Linked DNA regions of Arabidopsis thaliana. The protein of the gene in region 1 purifies or fractionates together with the protein of each later gene. This does not show direct contact. Each region holds a gene or a part of one and is shown on either strand. Other genes may lie near its edges.

Region 1 (7,404 bases):
ATTGTTAGATTCTGTGTTGTTCTGTAGCTGTTGATTCCTGTGAGAAGAATGTCCTCTTCATCTGCAACTCAGAAGACGCTTGATTAAAGTCTATATCATTTGCAGAAGCATATTCACAATCTCTAGTTAAAGTAAATTTTTGTTCTTTATTTGTTATCAAGAGAAGGAAAGCAAATTATACACTTGAGAAAGTATTAACCTTTTCAAATAAGTTCAACTTTCTCATGATTGAGATCTATGGAAGAACTTTTAATTGAAGTGAACAGATCCTAACTCCTAAGAGATTTCAGACCAGATCTAAAGATCCTGAATAAACACTATAAAGAGAGACAGAAAGAGTTTCAAGAACAGAGATTTACTTCAACAAGAAAACAATGGAAGAAAGAGAGGAAGTTACCGGTGTCGCTAAGAACAGGGCGATTGAGGCAGAGGAGTATGGAGAGAAAGAGAAGAAGTGGAAGCTTGTCGATCGCCATTGAAGCAGGTTTCTAGAGTTCTCAAATGATATTTTGATGGTGATTGGCTTATATTAATTGAGAAAGGAGAGTGAGAGAAATGGTTACTTCGCTTTTACTCATAAAGAGTTGTTTGATTCTGTTCTGCTTTTCTTGTCAGCTCGATTTTGACGTTGTGCCGACAATTTAAGGCATTTTTAACTAATTCGCTTGGTCCCTCTCATCCTATACGGCATCGTTTCTAATATAAGGATAGAGGACAAGAACAAGTTCCAAAGAGAAGGCAAACAATTGACCAAAGTTCTTGAAAACTCAATGTCAAGTAATCGATTTGTTATTACAAAACATCTACCTTAAGTACCAAGATGTGATCACAATACCAAATAGTGAATCAAACAAAAAAACAATCGAAGTGTCAAAAGTCACCTACTCCATAACTGCGATTCCACCAACAGCTTTGATCTTGGCTATGATTTCATTAGCTTCTTCCTTTGTCACACCTTGTTTAAGAATAGCCGGGACTTTCTCCACAAGCTCTTTCGCTTCCTTCAGACCCAAACTTGTGAACGTTCTCACTTCTTTTATCACTTTGATCTTATCAGATGCATTAAACTTCTCCAACTTCACATCGAAAGCCGTCTTCTCCTTCTTCTCCTCTACATTCCCAGCTCCGGTATCTTGTTTTGCTCCAATGCCGTCCGATGAAATCATCTGTTGTTTTGGAAGCCTCAGGTGTTCATTGAGTGCAGGACCAATCTGTTTTCTTTCTTCTGGAGATAAAGCAGCTATACGCTCAGCTAGCTCCATGATTTTGCTTGAAGGCTGGGGTCTAGGACCATACGGATCATAAACTGACGGGTATTTGTATTTCTTGGGTTTAGCTTTCGAGACAGAGTCTTGCTGCAAGAAACGAACTTGCACAGACCAGATTACTTCCGGTTGACATTGGCGAGAACGAACGTTTCTAACAAGTGAAATAAGCTTCATGACTACTATTCCTCTGCTACCATACAAACATCAACCCAAGATCATTTCATGTCTCAAAATGTCAACAGGACAGCAACAGTAAAAACTCTCCTGTGTTTTCAAAAAAAGACGAAAACTTTAGCTAGCGAATCTACTAAACATTGATAATATTCCAATGCAAAGAGATCAAGATCTCAGAATAAGACTGATTATCAAGAAATTAGTGCTTAACATAAAAATAATTTCAAGAAACATGTTTCTATTGTATAGGTTTAGGTTCAAAGGTTTCTTCTTTGCAGATCAAATGAACATATCAAGATCAGTGAAACAAAATGGTGAGTAAGAAAGGATGATTCATAAGATCGGTTTCAGCGTCAATAGCCCAAATATAAATTCCAATGTATCAGATTTGATAGTCTAGGTTATTAGCTGCTAACACAGTTCCGAAATCAAACAATGGGATCCATGAACCGCCAATCTATTATCTGAGAGTTGGAAATCGGAGAAGGAGATGAGAAAGAGAGATAAGGCTTACCTCCAACGGCGGAAACGGCAAGCTTCGCCGGCTCTGACTTGATTATTACTGTGAGAGACGGAGATGAGTCACGCATAGGGTTTAGAGTGGAAAGATTCCTCTTTTCGGCTCAAAATTACTTTTGTCTATGGGCCAAGCCCAATAAGGATCTTATCAACAAATTTGACATACTACGTCCTTGTAAGGCCTTTCACAACAACCCACTCAGCTTTCATGTCCTCCCTCAAGAGCAGCACCTAGTTCATCTATATACCTTCATACTCCACAAGCAATGGCTTTATTTGGCATTGGGTTTGAAATAGCTGGCTCCGGATTTTAGTCAAATGAAAGAGCAGCTTGTGATTGCAGAAACAGATCTCGAGGCCACAAGGTTAGAGACTCAACAATGGAAGGAGAAACACCAGGTAGCGAGGAAAGAAGCTAAATTGCTCAAGAACACGAGTGGGAGACTTAGGATTAAGCAGAGGAGTCTTAACCTTCATGTTGACAATGGGGACACGAAAAATCATATCCCTCAACCACATTGGTTTCTTATTCATATTATGAACCAGATTTACATTTGGTGAGAAACGGCAAGACACATAAGTTTTATTTAAACTGAAACTGTGGAAACAAAACAAAAGAAGTGAAGCTGTTACTTGGTCTGATCCTTGAGACATGTTCGGATCAAACTTATTATCAGTTGCAACTCAGAAGAAACAGCAACTCTGGAAATACTTTTTAGATCTGTCCTAAGATGACTTCTGCCCCTGTAACCTTGAAGTCAGACGGTGCTTCTTCCACATTCACCGCCTTAACCTTCCCGTCTTCTACATAAGCCGACCATCTGAACATGGACATCATAAATCCAACGAATCTGTTAGATCAATGGTTTACGATACAAACATTTCTACAAATGGACTTTCCAGTATATTACCTCTCAGACCGTGGCCCGAGCAATGCAGCAGAGAGATCCTTGTCTAGCCCCAAGCTTTTGTGAAATTTCCCATCAAAATCTCCATAAAACTCAATCTGGTATGACAACGTTCAAGAGCATCACATTAAGTCATTTGTTCTAGCATGTAGTACTAGTCGATATAAAGAATTATGAACTTTCTAATGAGGGAAGTCCATTTAATCATAGAATCAAATTCTTTTATCGTCTATTAATGTGAAGGTAATCATAGACAACGTTCAAGAGCATCACATTTAAGTCATTTCTTCTAGCACGTAAACTTATCCGAACATAAACATAGAAATCTATTGTAATGCTAGTCCATATCAAGAATTATGAACTTTCTAATAAGGGAAGTCCATTTAATCATAGAATCAGATCTGTTTATCGTCTATTGGTGTAATATAAAATCTTGAGACCACAGACAACGTGAATAATAGAGTAATATAGTTCTAACTATAAGAGGTTGATTACTATCAGGACGTCAACAAGAGTTACATACTTGAGGAGTTAAAAGATTCCTAAATGAACCATCTTCACCACTGAAAACTCTTAGACAACGAAACCAGGAACCGAATAATATATGTTATGTTGCAAATCAAGTTTTCTGAAGCAAAGAACCAAATCAGCATACACTAAACATCGGATTAGGTTGGTGTCAAAGAACAAAGATAGGAACAAAAAAAAAATCGATGAACTTACTGCATCTTTGGCACCAAGCTTCTCTGCCCAACCATTGATAGCAAAGGGATCATTAACAGAGACACAGATGACAGAATCAATGCCTTTGGCTTTAAACTTATCAATGTGGCTCTTGTAGCTAGGCACATGCTGCTGTGAACAAACTCCCGTGTAAGCCCCCTGAACACAGAAAACGAATATTCCGGCACAACATCAGAACTCAGAAACCTGATCAAGACATAAAGGAACATGAAAAGATAGAGATTTCTTACAGGAAGACCAAAGATGACGACTTTCTTCCCCTGCAACCAATCAATATCCACAAACGTTTTGTCAGAAATTGAAATCCCCCTCTGAATTGAAATTGTCAGAAAAGAGAGATTCGAACCTTGAAGATATCTGACAATGGCGTGGTGGAGAATTTGGAGGAAACACCTTCGTCCCAGCTGCGAGCTTTCTGGAGAGAAACGCCAGGCGCCGCCGAGGTTATGTCAGTGCCTTCCGCGAGCTTTGAGAAACCCCTCGATGAAACTCCGATCCGGGCACTATTTGCCGCCGATCTTAGTGCCGATAAATTTCTTAGCTTTAGAATTGACATCGCCATCGCTGAAAATAAGATTGAGACCGTTTCTTGGTTCCTTCGATTACTGTATAGTGTCGTTTATGGCACTTCTCAAAGACCTTTCTAAAGAGACTTAATCGTTGCCGTTTTGTAACAAACAAATCAGACTGCACGTTGTTTAAAAGCCTCAAGAACAGCACACACTCAAATTTTGGTTTTGAAGTTTTTACTTCTTTCAAATACATCATTTACATTTCATCTTGTGAAAAACATTCACTTCTTGACCAAGTAAAAAATACATTCAAATGAGTTCTTTGATTTCTCTATAAAAAAAAAGAAAAAACAGAGCTTGTTCAAAGACCGGAAACATGAATCTTGACGAGTTTCTACAAAACTATCAGCAATGTCGATATTCTGAATTGGTATAGTCGACTAGCTGGCGTGGTACCGGACTGAGAAGAAGGTTTGAGAATACCCATCAATGTTTAAGCTTCTGCCAAAAGCACTTCAAGATACATTGTCGGGCTGTCTGAAATTACAAAAGAGAAGCAATTTTAGAATAGTGATGTCGCAGTCAAGCAAGAGCAAATTCTATATGATGACAACTTGATGGCATTAGGAACTTACCATTTGGTTTTGGTTTTGCTCCATTTTTCAATGGCTTTATACCAATCCCATTGAAAGAAGAGAGCGATTAATCTTATAGGCCCTGCGGTTATAACTTCAAGAAAAGCAAGCCAAAATGATCTTTGAGGGGACATGCCGGTTGTCGCGAGAGACAGTAAGAATCCCTCAAAGTTGCATGAGACGGTGAAGTTTCCTGCTTTTATGCCATCCATAGCCTTTTTTGCTACTTCTTCTGTTTCCATTGAACCAGAGGATGCAGCTATTATGGCAGTGACTTCAGGTCTGCTCTTCTGTTCTGAGAGAGCACCCAAGGAAAATCAATCAAACTCATAATATGAACCAAGGAACTCAGAACATCAGTCCATAATGTGTTTACTTCATTAGTTATCAAAAAAAAAAAAGTGCTTACTTCATTCTCAGATAGGCAAAAAGAAGTCTTTTATGAAATTTTCAGATGCTATTGGAAGATAACTACATCCCATTATTCTCTTCTAAACAGTATCATGTGAACCACAGTACGCAGAGACTTCAAGCTAAACACTATCACAGTACTCAGTACTTAACTCACCAGTCTATCAGTTTCTCCTAACTGGCACTCTCATAGAACATGTGAACATGAAATGCTACGTGTTTGATAGAGTACACAATTATTCAGACCAGATAAGGGCACATATTTGATCTCATAATAACAAACTAGATGAATAATAGTTTATGTCTACATATGTCCCAACCATATAGTACAGCCTTATTTAGTAATCTGTCTCCAACTCTTTTATACATTTAATTGCCTTAGTATTTAGTAGCAGTACCTAATCCTAGCTACCCTCACATGTTAAACTTAGATTATCTGCTCTATACATCCATGATGAATCTGAAAAATACTGAAGCTTTTTTACCTTCTTCAAAGCCGGGTGTATTAGTGTCAGGAGGAAAAATAAGAGTGACATGAATATCATCAGATATAACTTCCTGTTGCAATGCTTGCGCTAAACCCTGAAGACCAAACTTGCTTGCTGAATATGCAGCATAACCATAGACACCAACCTGAAAATTTTATTAAAAAAAACATCCTTCATCATTCTATCTTTAAAACTGCATTACATGAGGTCACATTATTGCAGTTACACAAAAGTTACTTCAAGTGATAAATTGTCAATGTCTTACTTCAGGTAACTACAATCTCCAGATAAAACTTAAATCCATAAAGATGGGAAATTTGAGAGACGAACCTGACCAGCTTGAGAGGAGACGAGACTGATGGAAGCAGGTCCACGATCTTTCCTTGCTTTCATGGCAGGCAAAGCGGCTTTAATCACATTGAAGCTCCCAACAAGATTTACGTCAATCGTGAATTTGACATCTTCAGGACTATGTTTCACCAGCTCCTTCGCCGTAAACACACCTTGGTTAACAATCAACACATCGATCGGTCCCGATTCATCTATCGCCTTCGAGACTGCATCGTAATCGCGAACGTCTGCAGAGAATGTGGCGACTTCGACACCAGTGGCGAGCTGGATCGATTTCTTAGCCTCCTCGAGCTTTGATCCGGATCGGGCGAGGATTGAGACACGAGCGCCCTCGGAAGCGGCGCGGTGGGCGAGAGCAAGACCGATGCCGCTAGATCCACCGGTGATGAAGGCGTGACGGGACTTGATAGGGATCTTAATGGGACGAGGACGTACAATTAGGGCTAAGATAGCGAGAAGCGATAGTGGGATAATGGGAATGAGGAAGAGAAGGAAGAGAGGAGAAATGGCCGCCATGGATCTCGTGACGAAGCTCTCGGCGATGTGAAGCTCCGTCAGCTCATTCATTGGAGAAATAAAAACAAATACGATTAGACCAGTTAACCAATTACTCGGTTTAATGATTTCTATCTGAACCGGCCGTTTTAGTTTCTCGCTGTAATTTATTTTTTATATAATAATTTTGTGACTTGTTGTCGTTGTGTTTCAAAATTGGTTTCTATTTTCTAATGATGTCGTTAAAAAACAACTGACACTAATCACCTTATTTGTTGTAGTTGATTTAGACTAATACACATTTTTATGAAAGAGATGAATAGAAAATTGTATAGTATTATTTTGTGAAATTATTTTAGTTTCTTCTGACATTTGTTTCACAAGAGAACATGTTACGTGACTACGTGTGATAGAGTTAAAAAAAGATTGTGTTCGTATTGCGCAACTTGTAATAAGGAGATGTTGAGTTAATACTTTCACATATGGGTGGTTAGTCTTATATGTGACATTTAAAACTAATTTAAGATACAGCTAGTTGACAGAAAACATACAGCTTTGATCCCATATAAATGTCTAAATTGAGATGTTTTTAGATTTAAAAAACGATTATATGAAAGAATATACACTACATCTTATACTAAAATAATAAAATTGAAAGAAAAAGAGTGATGGGCATGTATGCATGTGGGTGAGAGTCTGTGACAGTCTTTTTTCGTTTTTAGATCTGACTTTGTCTATTCAAACATTGTTGCCAACATAACTGTTAACTCTGTAAGTTTGAGGTCCCAAAGCGATTGATTGGTTCTAGACCTGACTTGGAAGATTTTCCAATCTCACATGGGACTTGTCCTCATCCAGATTAATTGACCTCCATTGATCCTTTACTGATTTGATCATTT
Region 2 (7,315 bases), 5.3 Mb from region 1:
TTTTTGATCGATTTAGTCTTTATCTTTATAATCAAGTGGAGATTTAAGATTAGCAATTATAATATTGTTTATTGTTTATGGCAATACATTAATGATAGTACTTTAGCAGTAGACTCCAACCTCCATAGAAAAAAATCCATTGATTCTTTTATTCATAGGTATCAAAACTTACAATGCATTTGAACCTATTTTATAATTTAATTCAAACTACTGTATTCAGTTCCAATCATATGTTTTTGAATGTTTTTTTAAGAAAATTGAAGTTCATATAGGATTTATAAAAATTTATTCATCTGATGTAGAATTATTTTATGGTCAAGTTAATGAAAACTTCAAGTGAGGGCACTCCCAAACTTGAGATGGATTCAAAAGTCAACGATGCTAAATGAAACCATCGAATCATGTTTTGTTTTTGAAACAACATTATTACGTAAGAATCTAACTAATATTCGAAGACTCCATCCTAAAGCATTTCTCTATCTCTTTAATATATAAGTTCCACTAACCTCTCTTCTCTTCACTTCATTCACATAAGTCATAACCTTGAAAGATGACGAGTCTCTACAGAAACACATCCTCTTTTGTTTATCTCCTGTTTTGTCTCTTCATCACATCTTCGTCTGCGGGTTCCTTTATACGACAATTCAGTGATGACTTCAACACAATTCAACAGCGTATAAAATCTCTTTCACTCTTAGATTCATCTATGTAACTTAGATTTTGTGTGTGGACATAATCCTCTGTTTTTTTTTCTTTTTTCAAATGCTCTGTATTTTTGTCTGAAACAGAGAAGGGAAAAGATGGACCAACACCAAACCTGGAAAAAGGAAATTACTTGCATAAACATAATGAGATCTCATCATCACTTGATTATAAAGTATCAGCTTCAAACATAGTGAAAGGTCTAACAGAAGTTCCTCCCTCGTCTTACTCTTTCAAGATAGAGTCTTATAACTCGTTCCTTAAAATCCCCTACTTGGGATTCGAATCTCGTCCCTTTGCAGCTGGTGGATACAACTGGTATGTTGGTATTCTGATCTTCATTTTCATGAATCGAATCTTATGTACCAAAAATCTTTTGATGGGTCTTAAAAGACATGATATATAATACAGGGTACTTAAGGTACACCCTAACGGGCTCACGTGGGATGGTACTTCAGGATACGTTTCGCTTTACGTACTCTTACACGAATCGACCCCCATCACTGCAGATCAAGTCGTTTACGCGGATCTAAGGTTTTACATCTTCAATAACAACGAGAAGAAGTACTTTACCGTCCAAGGTTTTTGCTAAATTTTTTCAATATGTATAACAAGCAAGAATAATTATCTATGCGTGCATGATATATAGTAACATTTTTGTTATAATCTATAGATACCAACGTATGGAAATTTACTGCACCCAAAAGGCTTTTGGGATTCCCTAAGGTCATGTCTGCAGATCAATTCGAAGACCTGCGAAACGGATACATCTACGATAATCACTGTGAGTTTGGTGTTGATGTGACCGTTGCTTCTCACTACCAAAAATCTGAATCTTTATTTGTCACTGAGAAATTCGATAACCCAATATTCACTTATGCACTCCTGAGATTCTCGACGCTGCTCAAAGAAAGTTACCAATCCGATGTGTTCTCCATTGGAGGAAGAAGCATGTGAGTACCACATCATTACAGAAGTAAAAACTTTGCGCTATAAGAGTATAGTGGTAGTAATTAACAATTATTGTTTTATATGATGATCAGGTATTTACAAGTGTTTCCGAATGGTCGTAATCTTTCAAAGGGAAAAGCCATGTCGCTGTATCTTAACATTAACGATAAATTCAAACCCTTTGAGATGATTTATGTTCGAGCCAAGCTTCGAGTTCTTAACCAACGCAAACTCAATAACGTCGAAATACAAGGTACGTAAGAAAATGGATATATAACATCTCATCGCCATTGACTAATGGGATTTTACTTTCTTTTTTCGCAGTTAGTAATTGGTACACTTCTTGGTTTTATTACTCGGGCGACTTTCAGATTATCCCTCTAGCTGATCTCAGAGATTCATCAAAGGGTTTTGTTGTGAATGATATGTTGAAGGTTGAAGTTCAACTCGAGGGCATTTCCTCAACCAAGTGGTACCCTAGTTAGATTTCTCAAACTATAGGAACTTGAAGCTCCATGTTTTTCCTTTGTTACCAAACCACCTAATAATAATAAAGGGTAATTTGTGTTTGCATTTTTTTTTACATATATTTTCTTTCTCTAGCAATATTAAATTATCATTCCTCTTCTAACGACCATATTAAGTTATTAACTCTTGTCTCTTCAAGCATAATGGTTTTCACTCAAATAAAATAATGTATACAATCAATACATATACGTCAACAGCAAATGAGGGTGGACAAGACACTAAATAACTTATTCTTGATTAGAGGCTTTTGATTTGTAACCAACCTAATGGTTGATAATCCGCAACATTTTTCGTAGTGCAGCAAAATGAAAAGTAGGTTAAATATGGGTTAAGCCCCAAAAACCATTGTTTCTCTTATTTGTTTTGACATCTTCCGGACCAAAATACCCTTCGTAGAGATTGATTTGAGTGTTCTAGAGTGTTGCAATACATTCAATCTCGATCTTGGCGTTTAGAGGCAAAGCTGCAACTTGATACGTCGATCGTGCTGGAGAAGGAGCTGGGAAGTCTGCAACAGAGACAAATGTTTCATGCCCTTAACGACTCCACTAATAATTATGCATCTCAAACAAAGTAGGAACACAAACAATCTTGTTAAAGAACTCACATTTGGCATATATCTCGTTCACTGTCTTGAAGTCAGCCAAATCAGCCAACCTTTGAGAGAAAACCAGAAGAGATTGTTTTTCTTTCTATTTAGATTCAGAATTCAAATGGACAATGGTACTGTTGAAAAAAACAAGATCCCTTACATGATTGTTGTCTTCACCACCGAGGAATAATCAGCACCACTAGCTTTCAATATCTCCCCCATGTTTTTGAGTACCTTTGATATTCCATAAGATAATAGAAGCAAGTAGATAAAATCAGGAAGGAAAAACAGAGCAACTCAACCTTGCTACAACTACACTGGAACAAGTTAATTTGAAGACTAATACCAACCAAATCAAGAATTTTAAAGCAAAACCCAAAAGTTTCAAAGGCTTAGTTTTGTATCATGAAAGTTTATATCCCAATAAACTCAGCTAGAATAAGGCACATTAAGTTGTCATCCCTCACTACATTTTCACCAACAAACAACATCATGACGACCTAGAGGCTAGACCTCCTTTTCTGTGGATAATCATCCACCAAAACAGAGAAGCAAGTGGAAAGTACTCTAAACAAAACCAATTTTTATAGAGACTACGGTGACAGTTTGAAAGCTAACCTGCTCAGTCTGATCTTCGACGCTCTCCGAAACAAACTTTCCAGTCTATATACACAAAACAAAAAGAGCAAATCTTGTAATCTTAGAACACAGAAAAGAGAAACAACATGGTGATTACACAGTTTCATATCTTATATATACGGACCTCAGGTATAAGTCCAAGAACACCTGAAAGAAAAACCAGATTATTGGCTTTAATGGCCTGAGAGTAAGGTCCCAAAGCAGCTGGTGCTTTCTCAGTAGACACAACTTCCTTCTTCACTGCACACCACACACAACATCACATTTCTTTAGTAAAAACCCTATTCTCAAACCCTTGATCATTCAATACGGAAGATGAAAGAAACTAAAACCCAATACTAACAAACATATGCATTGATGATAACTGAAATCAATTTCAACTTTTTGACACTGACATTCATAAAAATCGCATCTTTAGAAAGTACTAATATCGGTCCAAATTGGAGAAAATTGAGTAAAATCGTCACCAGAAGAAGCAGAGACAGAGAGGGAAGCGAAAGGAGGAGATCTAGAAGACATTCTGAAGAGAGAAACACCAGCGAATGTTGCGCAGCCGACACCAGCAGCGACCAATGGGGTACGAGTGGAGCGAAGTGCGGTGGAGAGGTCGAGTGTTGGAGTATTTATGGATCTGAAAACCGACCAAGTCATCTCACTCTCTCCGGCGCCGACAAGAAGTATAGAATAGCGAATGGACCACGAGAGAGAGAGAGAAAGGTAGGTGAAGAAGAAGAAGAAGACTGAGTCGATGCGATTGGATTTTAAGCAGATGATTCTCGTGCTTCTTCTTTTGTCTTCTTCCTTCTCTTCGAAATGTTTTTTTGTATTTCCCACTTTACCCTTAGTTAGGTACATATATTACTGAGAATTTAATTTTTATTTTTGTGTAGTTTAGTTGGATTGCAAATTTTAAAAATTTGGACCCGTTGGGTCATGTCGGTCCATAGCTTTGTGAAGTTTATCCACAACATATTGTTATGTAGAAGTTGTGTTATGTGAAAGATGGTCTCTACAAATGGGGCAAGTTTCTTGTCTAAGCAACCACTCATCTATGCAATTCATATGAAATGTGTGGCCACATCTTGCTAGCTTTCTTCCTACTTCCCCTTCTTCCCAATCCTACACACCCCAAAAATGAACATTAGAAATATATATGATTTAAGTCATTATTATCATATATTAAAATCTGATTCCTAGATGATTCTAATTAATTACATTTTTATCACCTGTAAGCAAATCGAGCAACTCGATTTTGTTTGATGTTCTGAACGGTTGTAGAACATCGGGATGTTCTGAATAGAGCTCTTCGATAGTCCCTTTTTTTCATGATTGAAATCGTATAAGTTTGAACTCTCCATGTAACTTGTATCCAATGCTATTATCTGCATTTTGTATTATAATATTACCGGAGTTAAAATTTTGTAAAATATACTTAGTTTAACGCTTTTTGTTATGGTTCTGATTTTACGTTAGAAAATATCGTGTTCTTGTCAAATAAAAAGACGTAGTTGAAAAAAAGTCAGAAGAACAAAAAGAATGGAGAGTACTTACTTGCCATTGATATGCTTTGAGAACAAAAGGTCTAACCAATCCCATAATGGCTTTCCCATTCACTACTCTCCTGAGTAAAGCCACCTGCCACTCTTTTCATATTTTTGTCACCAAACTATTGTTACCATAACATCATCTTTTATTCAGATAACTAGTTACTAGAATACCATTCATTTTTAGCTAGCTTTCTTAATTACAGGACCACTCCCACTATTTAACTAGAAACATATGGTTGTTTAGTGATTTATTTTTTAGATTCTAGGGTTATATGTAGAGTCACAATCACCTTAGACAAAGGTTGATCACTATGTAGCACCGGTCCAAAGAGTTGGACCGCAGTGATAACTCCAGCCACCACTCCAAGCACACTACCTTGAAGAAATCCGATGTCAGTGGTGTGACCTTCGATGGCTCCTACAATGGCGGCTACCACAACACTAGCTACATTCAAAATTAATGACATTTCGTGATCTTATAAAATTGTTTAACATGGAATGTGGAATGAAAACAATGCAATGTGATATGTTAAAATGATACATACCAAAAAGAAAGTATATTTTTCTAAGAATTTGGATGAAGATATTGTTGACAAAAAGATATACTTTTCTTAAAGAATGAGAATTTAAGGGTAGAGAATCCATACATAAGATAAGTTATTAAATTCAATTAAGGAATGCATAGACAACAAGTAATTCAGGTTAAAGGAAAAAACTAAGAAAATGGAAAAGAAGATCCCACATCAGACTCTTATGGTAAGTAGAAGTTGCTTGACACATCGCATCCATTCAAGAATTTTCTCTTTATCTTTTTGTTAATATGTTTTAGTTCTTTTATCAAACACTCATGTCAAGTTGTCAACTATATATAGTATACATATGTGTGGATTCATATATGAGAGGTAAGTACATGTCAATGAAGTACATATATCCAAAACCAATGAGATGGCGTCTCAAGTTTCATCTTTAAAAGTACGTTAGTTTAGCAAGCATCTATAGAATTCAAAAAAAAAAAGGGGAACAAACAGCATTAAATGATAAGAAAATGAAGATAACTTGTAAATTTACCGGAAGCAAGAATGAAGATGAATGAGCCCAACAAAGCTCGTTTTATCGTTCTTGACATTTTGAAGATCACGCAAGTAATCCAGAAAGAAACAACATATGTGAATTTCAGAAGAATCATCTTAGAAATGCCCATGAAGAAAAGATGGAAGACTAATTGATTTTTTTTCTTTCTCTTATAAGATATTTTGAATTTGTCTATTTATGGGGTGAGAGCTTGAATTGGAGAGTGGTGTGGAGTGTGAGAAAAGAGCAATTTATAAAGGAAAAAAGAGAGAAAGGAGGAGGAGTTGCATTTAAGAAGCTGAACTACCCATACCTCTAATCTACATTGCATTGGCGACTCTATTGGCGCATGCATGAACTTGCGCCCACAGAAGAATCTAAATGTTTTATAAAATAAAATAAAAGCAAGAAAATTGAATGGAGAAATTAATGCAGTTTTGAAATATGAAAATGGGAAGGGATGGGATAAGCTTGAGATTGAAATATATCCAATTTACATTCCACTACGATCTGAATGAGTTGTTTATTGCCATTTACATTCTAGTCATTATAGTGGTAGCAGTAAACTTCCAATCTTGGATTCTTAATCTAGCAAAAAGAAGCTCTTCATTAACCAATGTTTATCAATGAGTTTGGATAGACTAATTTTTACCGCATTTGTTTGTTAGCTCAACTAGATTTATGTTTCATATAGGCTATGACACAGACTTGTATAGTAAGAAGACTAGCATACATTAGAAATGGAGATCTGGGTTACAACTAAGATTGAGCCCAACATGTTGTCGTGGGGCAGCAAGGTCTTCTTATCAGTGGATATGACACCACTCACTGGCAACGATTTTATGTTTTCGTTTATGGCTACAAGTTTCTTCATTGATGAAGAGAAGAAAATCGCTGTGGTTTTTAATCAAAGCAAAGACAGGAAGCACAACACAGCTTTCATCATTGGACAGGATGGATCCTTGAAAGAAGTGGATCTTGGAGAAGTTCGAAACAGAGATCTCAAACCACTTGTGTCCTCTTATGTTCCAAGTTCAATGCAACTTGAATAGTGCATTTTACAAAACCCATAATCTATTTCTTGCACTTTTACTTGTTTCTTTTTCTCTTTTGTCATCTTCTTCTTTGAACAATATATAGAAATTTAATTCGTCTCTCATACTTCTTTTTGTTTGCCATATTTGACTTCGTTTTGTTGCCTTTAGTTGTTTAATTTACTTCTTCTGTTGTAGTAGACTCATTGCTAAATCTCTGTTTCTCTTCTAACATTTGTTATGTTTGTGTT

Evidence for each region.
Region 2: the proteins of PRXIIF (region 1) and AT3G20390 fractionate together in Arabidopsis thaliana (co-fractionation; one large-scale study listed by BioGRID). This does not show direct contact.

The regions. Positions count from the first base shown.
Region 1 is NC_003074.8:1,823,635-1,831,038, forward strand, and holds PRXIIF (peroxiredoxin IIF), read right to left. Parts: upstream 4,273-7,404; 5' UTR 4,176-4,272; coding exon 3,960-4,175; intron 3,874-3,959; coding exon 3,844-3,873; intron 3,752-3,843; coding exon 3,593-3,751; coding exon of another isoform or gene 3,443-3,592; exon of another isoform or gene 3,393-3,442; intron 2,968-3,392; coding exon 2,873-2,967; intron 2,783-2,872; coding exon 2,677-2,782; 3' UTR 2,365-2,676; downstream 1-2,364. Other genes in the region: AT3G06035 (Glycoprotein membrane precursor GPI-anchored), read right to left, coding at 1-61, 398-476; AT3G06040 (Ribosomal protein L12/ ATP-dependent Clp protease adaptor protein ClpS family protein), read right to left, coding at 882-1,442; TSC10A (NAD(P)-binding Rossmann-fold superfamily protein), read right to left, coding at 4,662-4,662, 4,761-5,055, 5,657-5,804, 5,990-6,577. UniProt on the Arabidopsis thaliana protein: Thiol-specific peroxidase that catalyzes the reduction of hydrogen peroxide and organic hydroperoxides to water and alcohols, respectively. Plays a role in cell protection against oxidative stress by detoxifying peroxides.
Region 2 is NC_003074.8:7,107,633-7,114,947, forward strand, and holds AT3G20390 (endoribonuclease L-PSP family protein), read right to left. Parts: upstream 4,298-7,315; 5' UTR 4,268-4,297; coding exon 3,880-4,267; intron 3,653-3,879; coding exon 3,537-3,652; intron 3,437-3,536; coding exon 3,392-3,436; intron 3,008-3,391; coding exon 2,934-3,007; intron 2,839-2,933; coding exon 2,789-2,838; intron 2,690-2,788; coding exon 2,595-2,689; 3' UTR 2,254-2,594; downstream 1-2,253. Other genes in the region: AT3G20380 (TRAF-like family protein), read left to right, coding at 551-674, 789-1,020, 1,114-1,283, 1,376-1,655, 1,746-1,906, 1,978-2,138; AT3G20395 (RING/U-box superfamily protein), read right to left, coding at 4,388-4,531, 4,639-4,794, 4,964-5,047, 5,250-5,404, 6,028-6,160; EMB2743 (F-box associated ubiquitination effector family protein), read left to right, coding at 6,771-7,082. UniProt on the Arabidopsis thaliana protein: Hydrolyzes the Ser-derived enamine/imine product of Thr dehydratase, protecting the plastidial branched-chain aminotransferase BCAT3 (AC Q9M401) from inactivation. Involved in Ile biosynthesis.